2 linked regions of the Callithrix jacchus genome follow. The protein of the gene in region 1 purifies or fractionates together with the protein of each later gene. This does not show direct contact. Links are inferred from orthologs where the notes say so. Each region holds a gene or a part of one and is shown on either strand. Other genes may lie near its edges.

Region 1 (3,511 bases):
ATATTCCTTTGTATTTATCTTGTGGCCCTAGTTTTTCTTTTGGTTAGGGAAATTAGTGAATGGGGTTTAGCTTCATTCTTCATTTAGAGGAAAACTCTAGTGGTTTATTCTGAAAGTATGGTCAGATGGAATCTAAGAAAGCCTGTTTCCCTTTGCAATGAAAAATAATCAGTTAAATGTCTAAAAAGCAGGAATCCTTTTCCACTCCCTATGGGAAAAAAGAAACCTTGAGTTAATATTTTATGTAATCAGTGCAATGTGTTACTAGCTAATGAGTGGGAAGTAGATAGAGAATATAGGAAATAATGCTTGGTTTCTGCACTTTAGAAGATTATAATAATACAGAATAACATAAAATTATATATTTGCTATAAACAAATATTCAACCATGTGGTCTCAAACACACACTTGAGCTGCTTCCCCTGTCATAGGTAGAGAATTATCAGAGCTGCTCTTTTGTTTTGCCATTCTAGTATTCATGTTGTTTACTCTTCTCAGCAAATTGAACTGCTTTAAGAGTGATTTAGTTTATGTAAGTTGGGCATTTGGAGGCATTCTGTAGTAGAGAGAGTATGCACTTGGGGGTTAACATGTCTTCGAATTCTAGCACCCTCCCTTATCAAGCTATTTGACCAGAGGTCCCTCTGAGACTCTTTAAACAACTTCGAAATCTCTCTCTTAATAAGGGCAATAGAACAACTACTTCACAGAGTTGGTGAAGAACACATGCGTACTGTGGCCTATGGACACTCAATAAATGTTAGTTTTCTTTTCTTCCCATCTAACTAGGAATGTGTTTCTTCTAGATTGAATGATAAAGTGAAGAAGAAAGCTCTAACATCATTTGAAAGGGATTCCATCTTCAGCAACTTGACTGGGCAGCTTGATTACCAAGGTTTTGAAAAGGCCGACATGGTTATTGAAGCTGTGTTTGAGGACCTTAGTCTTAAGCACAGAGTGCTAAAGGAAGTAGAAGCGGTAAGCAAGGGGCTGCTGTACTTGAATTCTAGTGTAGTGAGCAAAAAACACTGAGGTGGGTTTTTTTAAAAGGAGCTATAGGAAACTCATGGCTGCTTTTATAAAAAGGACTATTTGTTATCAAAGTTCAGTTTTTATGTGTGCTCATGCACACTGCATATGTTATAAAGGTCAAGTCTAAATCCTAAAGGAAGAAAATTAAGTAGTTTATTACCATAAGCACAGGATTCGTTCACCTTATTCATGTAGGAGCTCTGCCACCCAAACATATAGATGACCTCATGGAGGACAGCCAGATGCTTTAAGATTTTTTTGGTTAGCTGCAAGCCAAAGCCAAACCTCTTCAGGTCTAAGGCTGCAAAGGAAATAGGGAGGACAGTTCCTCCAGATGCTTGTTCTGTGGAAATGCTGCTTTGGCCCAGCTCCCAAATGTTCTCCATAACCACTTCTTGAAATGGGCTGACATGAACAAAACAAGTACTTAAAGTGGGTAGTAGGAAGAGTGAGCCCCAAGAAGTAGTAATGGCAGTAATTCAGGCATGAGGTAGGACCGACACCTAAACTAGTCTACAGTTGGATAAGCAGAATGTGGGTTACTAAAAGATGAACATGAAATGATTCTGACTTGGCAACATGCTGGGTGTAATGAGCAGTGAGCTGCGAGGAAGTAGGTGGTACTCTTAAGATGCCCTCCATGTGAGGACGGTCCATACTCCACTAAGACTGAATTTAAGGCCAGGCATGATGGCTCATGCCTGTAATCCTAGCACTTGGGAGGCCAAGGCAAGAGGATCACTTGAGACCAGGAGTTTAAGACCAGACCAGGAAACAGAGCAAGACCCTGTCTCAAAAAAAAAAAAAGTCTGAACCTAAGGGGGTTTAAAAATTAAGGATGAGCAGCTCTGTTGGGGACATGTTCCCCTTGTGAGACACACATTCCAAAATCTTTTCCTTAGGCAAGTGAGGGAGAAAGTTCAGATGAGGTTGGTGGATCTGTGTTCCATCTGTGCTAGATGGCATTTCAACTTAGACATCTAGACGATGTTCCTGGGGCTTTGAGGGCACTGCAATGGTAGGTAGATTCTAGAAGCATCAAAAGCAGACACAGCCACGGTGGAGAGAAGAGCACTTACTGACTAGGACATGGTATTTGCTTTTGGGAAATCTGGCTTTGGGAGGATCAGAATAGAGAAAAGTTGTCTGGACATAGTGGCTCACGCTTGTAATCCCAACATTTTGGGAGCCGGAGGCGGAAGGATCACCTGAGGTCAGGAGTTTGGGACTACCCTAACCAACATGGTGAAACCCTGTGTCTACTAAAAATAAAAAAACTAGCTGGGCTAATTTTTGGTGGTGCACACCTGTAGTCCTAGCTACTTGGGAGGCTGAGGCAGGAGAATGTCTTCAACCAGGGAGGAGGAGGAGGCTGCAGTGAGCTGAGATTGTGCCACTGCAGTCCAGCCTGGGCAACAGAGTGAGACTCCGACTCAAAAAAAAAAGAAAAGTTTTTTTAGTTTTAGCTGTTGGGATGCCAGTGGTCAAAGAAAAAAGAAGAGGGATCAAATCAAGAGAAGGGTAGACTAGAAACCAATCAAGGTAATAGTCACAACTGAAACATAAAGTGAAGTTAAAGGCAGCAAGGAGATGATACAGAACCCAGCAGACAAGGAGAAGGAAGAGACAAGGGTGGTGGCGCACGCCTATATAATCCCAGCTACTCAGGAGGCTGAGGCAGGAGAATCGCGGAGGTTGCAGTGAGCTGAGATCACACCACTGCACTCCAGCCTGGGCGACAAAGCAAGACTCCATCTCAAAAAATAAACAAACAAACAAACAATTATCTTCTCTTATTGCCCATAGAACTAACAAAACCCATTTCTTTGAACATTCTTCCACAGACATTAACTCTAGACCACTCCATTTCAGTTATCCTCTCTAGTATCTTCGTATGTCTTGGTGTTCTTCTGCTGTGTTTACAACTGTCTTTTCATAATTCTGCAATCCTGGCAGGGCTCTGCAGAGACAGCTGGTGCTTAAGTCCATTAATTTCAGGGCTGGGGTCACTCCTGGGACTGCATTCCACTGGAAGCTGGCTTGGGCACTTCACTGCTTCCGCCACATCTCTCCTGGCCTGTCCTCACTTAGCATCTTACCAGAACTTTGCATTTTGCTGCGTGCTTCTGAGAGAACAAAAGCAGAAGCTACTGAGCTTCCTAAGTTTATTGTTAGGAAGAAAAAAAGATAAATAATTTAAAAGATAAAAAAAGAAGACTGAGCTTCACAGAGCTAGGTAGACCTGGAACTGGCAAGGTAACTTCTGCCGCATTCTGTTGATAAAAACAAGTCACAGGACCAGCTCAGATTCAGGGAGAAGGGAAACAGATTCTACTTCTAGCTGGGAGAAGAGATGTATATGTCCAGGGAAGGGCAGAATTTTTGCCCGCCAGCTTTAGAGACATTAATTTGCTCTTCAGAAAGGATTTTACCACCAGCATTAGACACAATACTACTAAGAAAGTAACCTGACACTGTG
Region 2 (4,143 bases), on another chromosome or scaffold:
TGAGGAGGTCCCCCTGGAGAAGTCCAGATGCAGGAGAGAGAGGACTGAGTATGGTGCCCACCAGGCCACTGAGGGTCCAGGGCTCCTGGGAGGATCTGCCACCCAGGGGCCACCAGAGGGCGCCCAGCCCTCGGAGCTCAGGCGCAGCAACAGAGCAGGAGGGGACACTGGGCTTGGCAGCCCCAGGACTGCTGCGGCTGGAGAGGATCACCCTGTTTCCCTCGGCCCACGTGGCTCCCATGTTCTCTTCTGTACCCTGGGCCCCGAAGGTGACTCCCCACCTCTGCAGCCATAGGGGGTCCAGGGAAAGCAGCTCCAGGCGGAAGAGCACCGGCTGGAGACGTGCTAACCCTGAGCAGTGCAGGCCTGCAGGAGGCTGGCGCCCCGGACCCTGGCAGCAGGCAATGGCCACTGGCTAGCATCATGCTTAGACAGCTGCAGGGTGTTCAAACTTCCTATGAGGGGTGGACAGCACCCCCGCCACCAGACACAGAGAAACCAACACAGTCTGCCTGTCCCGGGTCCCTCAGCCACTGCATTCCCCAACCCAAGGGCCGAAAGATCTGTGCTCTGTGGCCCGGCCCACGTCAACTTCTCCATCTTGTCCTGCCCTCTCTTCTCACCCTTGGAAGATGGCCAAACTGTGCCACTCTGTCTCTCTAACTGGGAGTAGTGGCCTCTGGATGCAAGGATAGGTTAGCTCCTAAGGACGCGACTGCCCAGAGGACATGGAGGTGCTAAAAAGGGCCGGGTTCAAGACTCTCGGTTGGGAGGGGCAGCTGCTCAGCCACCCTGCCACCCTGGTGGCCAGGGAGGGATTCACTGGGAAGGCCAAGGATGCCTCTTTGTGTGTGGGAAGGGGGGGGCAGGGCACGAACCCAACAGAGCTCAGGGCTTTGTGCTGTCTGGCACCCAGGGTGCCCCCCACCTGGGACAGAGCCCAGTGGGGTGAGAGAGGCAGCCTGGAAATAAAAGGGTTGCCTCTGCAGAGAGGGGCACAGGAAGGCCTGTCCTGGGGCTTTGGAGGGGTCCTTGCAGAGCCTCAGGCTGGGAAAAGGGCATGGGGACATCCACCAAGGGGCTGTCTGCTGGTTCTGTTCCTCCTGGGGGGGGGCAGGGGGTCCTCTCTCACAAGAACCTCAGCCTGGGGACATCAGAAGATCCGCCAAGGGGCTGTCTGTGGGTTCTGTTCCTCCCGGAGGGGCAGGGGTCCAGAGCCCGGCTGCCTCCTTCCTACCCTCTCCTATCCCCCGCAGCAAGGTATGGTCACAGACCCCCCTCACCGGGACGCACTGTTACTTCTTGCTCAGAATCCCCGGGCCGTGGGCATTCCTGCGCTGAGTCCCCATCTGACTGGCCTCCACCCACACTCCCGCTCCCTGGTTTCAGAGGAGCCCGCCCCCCCCCCCCCGAAAAGAAATCTGTTCTGTTCTTGCCCACTAGGTCCCTGACACCGGGTACAGGTCCAGGGTGGTCCCCACACGTGGGAGAGTGAAGCTTGGGCTCCAAGAGGTCTTCAGAACACTGAGCCACCGGTACACGTCGGTCCCCAGAGCTCCTCCGGGCCACAGGAATGGAAGAGGCAGAGCCGCAGGCGGCTGCAGGGCTTAGGGGGCGCCAGGAGGACCGCTGTTCTTACAAAGAAATGACACGGCCCCTGGGCGGGATCCAACGCGCCGACCACCTGCAGCTGGACTCGCAGCGCGAGGCCGCCCAAGTGCCAGGCGGGGGCCAGCGCGCACAAGTTCTTGGGTAGGAATCCCTTCGAGGCGGCGGCGTTCCGCCCGCAGAGAAGCGCCCAGCTCCCTCCCCGCCCCTCCGCAAGGCCCCCTCCCCGCTGCAGGGGGTCCGCTTATAAAACCCACCCAGGCTGCGCCGGGGACCCTACAAGAATCCCCGAGCGGGACCGAGACGCCTCCCAGAGAGGGCTGAACAGAGGAGAGGGGGTCCGCGCTGCCCCGAAGCCGACCCGGGGGCTGGGACTCCCGGCCGGCAGGCGCGCTGGGCCGAGCGGCGGGCAGAAGACGCCCAGCTCCAGCCGTGGGCCGGGAGGAGCGCCCAGAGCCAGCCGGGGACCGCCCGGCCCGCAGCCCGGCGAGAACAGCTCGGCGGGGAAGGGGCCGGCGTGCGGGGGGCGGGGAGGGGCGGGGGACGCCCGAGCGGAGCGGAGGGGACCCAGGAGAGGGAGGCGGCGCGGGGCTCGGAGGCAAGGCCGTGGGTCTGCGGAGGAGCCGCGGCGCAGGGGGCCACTCGGAGCCGGGCGGCGGGGCGCAGGCGGCAGGATCCCGCGCCGGGGGCGAGAAACCGTGTCGGGAAGAGCAGGGAGGAGAGCAGGGGGCGCAGAGGAGATCCCGGGCGCGCGGAGGTCCGGAGCCCGAAGCCCGAGGTCCCCGCGCCGCGCCCTCACTCACCCGAGATCTCAGCCTGGGGCACGTCGCTCAGGCTGAAGCCCTTGGCTCCGTAGATCTGGCGGACCTCGCTGCAGCTCCGGCTCTTGCTGGCCGGGTCCCCGCGGGCGCAGGCGACCACCGCGGCGGCCGCGCACAGCAGCCACCAGCCTCGGGCCCGGAGCTCCATGGCGGGGCCGGCGGCGCCCCCGGGCCCCCACCCGCGCCTCTCCCGGATCCCGGCCGGGCCCTGCGCAGCTCCCGTCCGCGAAGGGCAGAGCCAAGGTCCCGGTGCGCGCGGCTCGCGGTCCAGAGGCGGCGGCGGCCGAGGAGGCGGAGACAACAAAAGCCGGCGGTGGCGCGGAGCGCGCGGGGCGCGAGGTCCGGCTGCTCGTTCGGGCAGCCCAGAGCGCAGCGGGCGAGCGCAGTCCCGGCTCGGCACCTCCCCCGCCGCCGGCCCGGCCCCTCGGCGGCCGCGGGAGAGGGGCGGGGCGGGAGCGCAGGGGCGGGGGAAGGACTGGGAGCACCCGGCAGGGCGGGGCGGGGCGCGGCGCGGGGGCGCGAGCCGGGGCGCACCGGGCGCTCCTTCGGCTCTCGGGGGCCCTGAGGGCCGCGCCGGCCGCGCGACTCTATCGATCCCCGGAGGGAGGCGGCAGAGCCAGCCTGAGAGCGCGGGGCGGTGGCCGGGGTCCCGTAGGGCAGGCCCCCACGCCCAGCGCCCGGGGCGGTGGCACCACCTGTGGGGGCGGGGACGGGGGCGGAGGGTGCGCGAGGCAGGGCTTCCCCCGCCGGACGTGACATCACGCCTCCCGCGCCCCAATCAGGGGCTTCCCCGCCCCCCGCCGAATTCGGCATCCCGCTCCCGGCTCCCCGCTCCCTCCCGCGCGCTCCGGCTTCCTGCACCCCGGCTGCGCGCCTCGCGATCGCCCTCCCGGCGCCTCCGTCCCCTCCGCCCGCCGGTCGCGCCCCTCTCCTTGCCGGCACCCCGTAGCGGCCCCCTTCCCGCGGTCTCGCGCGGGGCTCCGTCTCACACCTGGGGTGTTTGTGGTGTGGGGGCTAGACGCAGGAAACTGGCCAAGAAACTGACCTCACGTCTCCCAGTCCCAGGGAGTGGCAACAGATGACTTAGTTGTTGGACGTTGGCAGCTGTTTTGGGGGGTGACCCTCCACGTTCTTTGGATGCTGGAGAAGCCGCAGTGATAGGGCAGGGCTGGTCTACTGGTTTGGGCTTCTGGGTGGGGCCAGGTGACCTCTGGAGAAGGAATAGGGTCCGAACCGGAGAAAGCTAGGTCATGGGGGAGGAGGGTGCAGTGACCCGGAGCGCTTGCCTCTTTGAGGAAGGACTGCCGGCACCTTGTACGGTGGGAGGGCGCGTGGCTTTAGCCGCACAGGGGGAGCTGGCCTGGACGGGGCTGCGGGGAGCGGCGAGGACGGCTGTGTTGAGGTCTGGAGGGCTTCGCTTGGCTCCTTACTTGGCTCCCAGAGCCCCCACCCGGTCCCCTGCTCTCCTCGTGGTAAGGCCTGGTGGTGAAGTCAGATGCCTGACCTGCAGAATTGGGGGCAGGCATAGAGGTCGGCAGCCTTGACTGAGAACCTCTAGATGACCCCCATGTGCAGCAGGGGTGCCTGGATTTCGCCGCTTGTGGCAACCCCTGGAAGCTGCAGCTGCCGTGGTGGGGGTGGGGCCAGCCTCCCCGTCCCCGTGCCTGGGGCTCTCAGCCATTATGGGGTCTGGAGCAGGATGGTGGGTCCCCTG

Evidence for each region. The genes of interacting proteins can lie anywhere in the genome.
Region 2: the proteins of HADHA (region 1) and GPC1 purify together in Homo sapiens (co-immunoprecipitation; 3 studies listed by BioGRID and IntAct, with this or other methods). This does not show direct contact. The link is inferred for Callithrix jacchus from reciprocal best matches to the Homo sapiens genes HADHA and GPC1.

Annotation. Positions count from the first base shown.
Region 1 is NC_133515.1:89,079,288-89,082,798, reverse strand, and holds part of HADHA (trifunctional enzyme subunit alpha, mitochondrial), read left to right. Parts: intron 1-806; coding exon 807-978; intron 979-3,511. UniProt on the Homo sapiens protein: Mitochondrial trifunctional enzyme catalyzes the last three of the four reactions of the mitochondrial beta-oxidation pathway.
Region 2 is NC_133507.1:161,719,730-161,723,872, reverse strand, and holds the start of GPC1 (glypican-1), read right to left. Parts: upstream 2,804-4,143; 5' UTR 2,578-2,803; coding exon 2,412-2,577; intron 1-2,411. UniProt on the Homo sapiens protein: Cell surface proteoglycan that bears heparan sulfate. Binds, via the heparan sulfate side chains, alpha-4 (V) collagen and participates in Schwann cell myelination.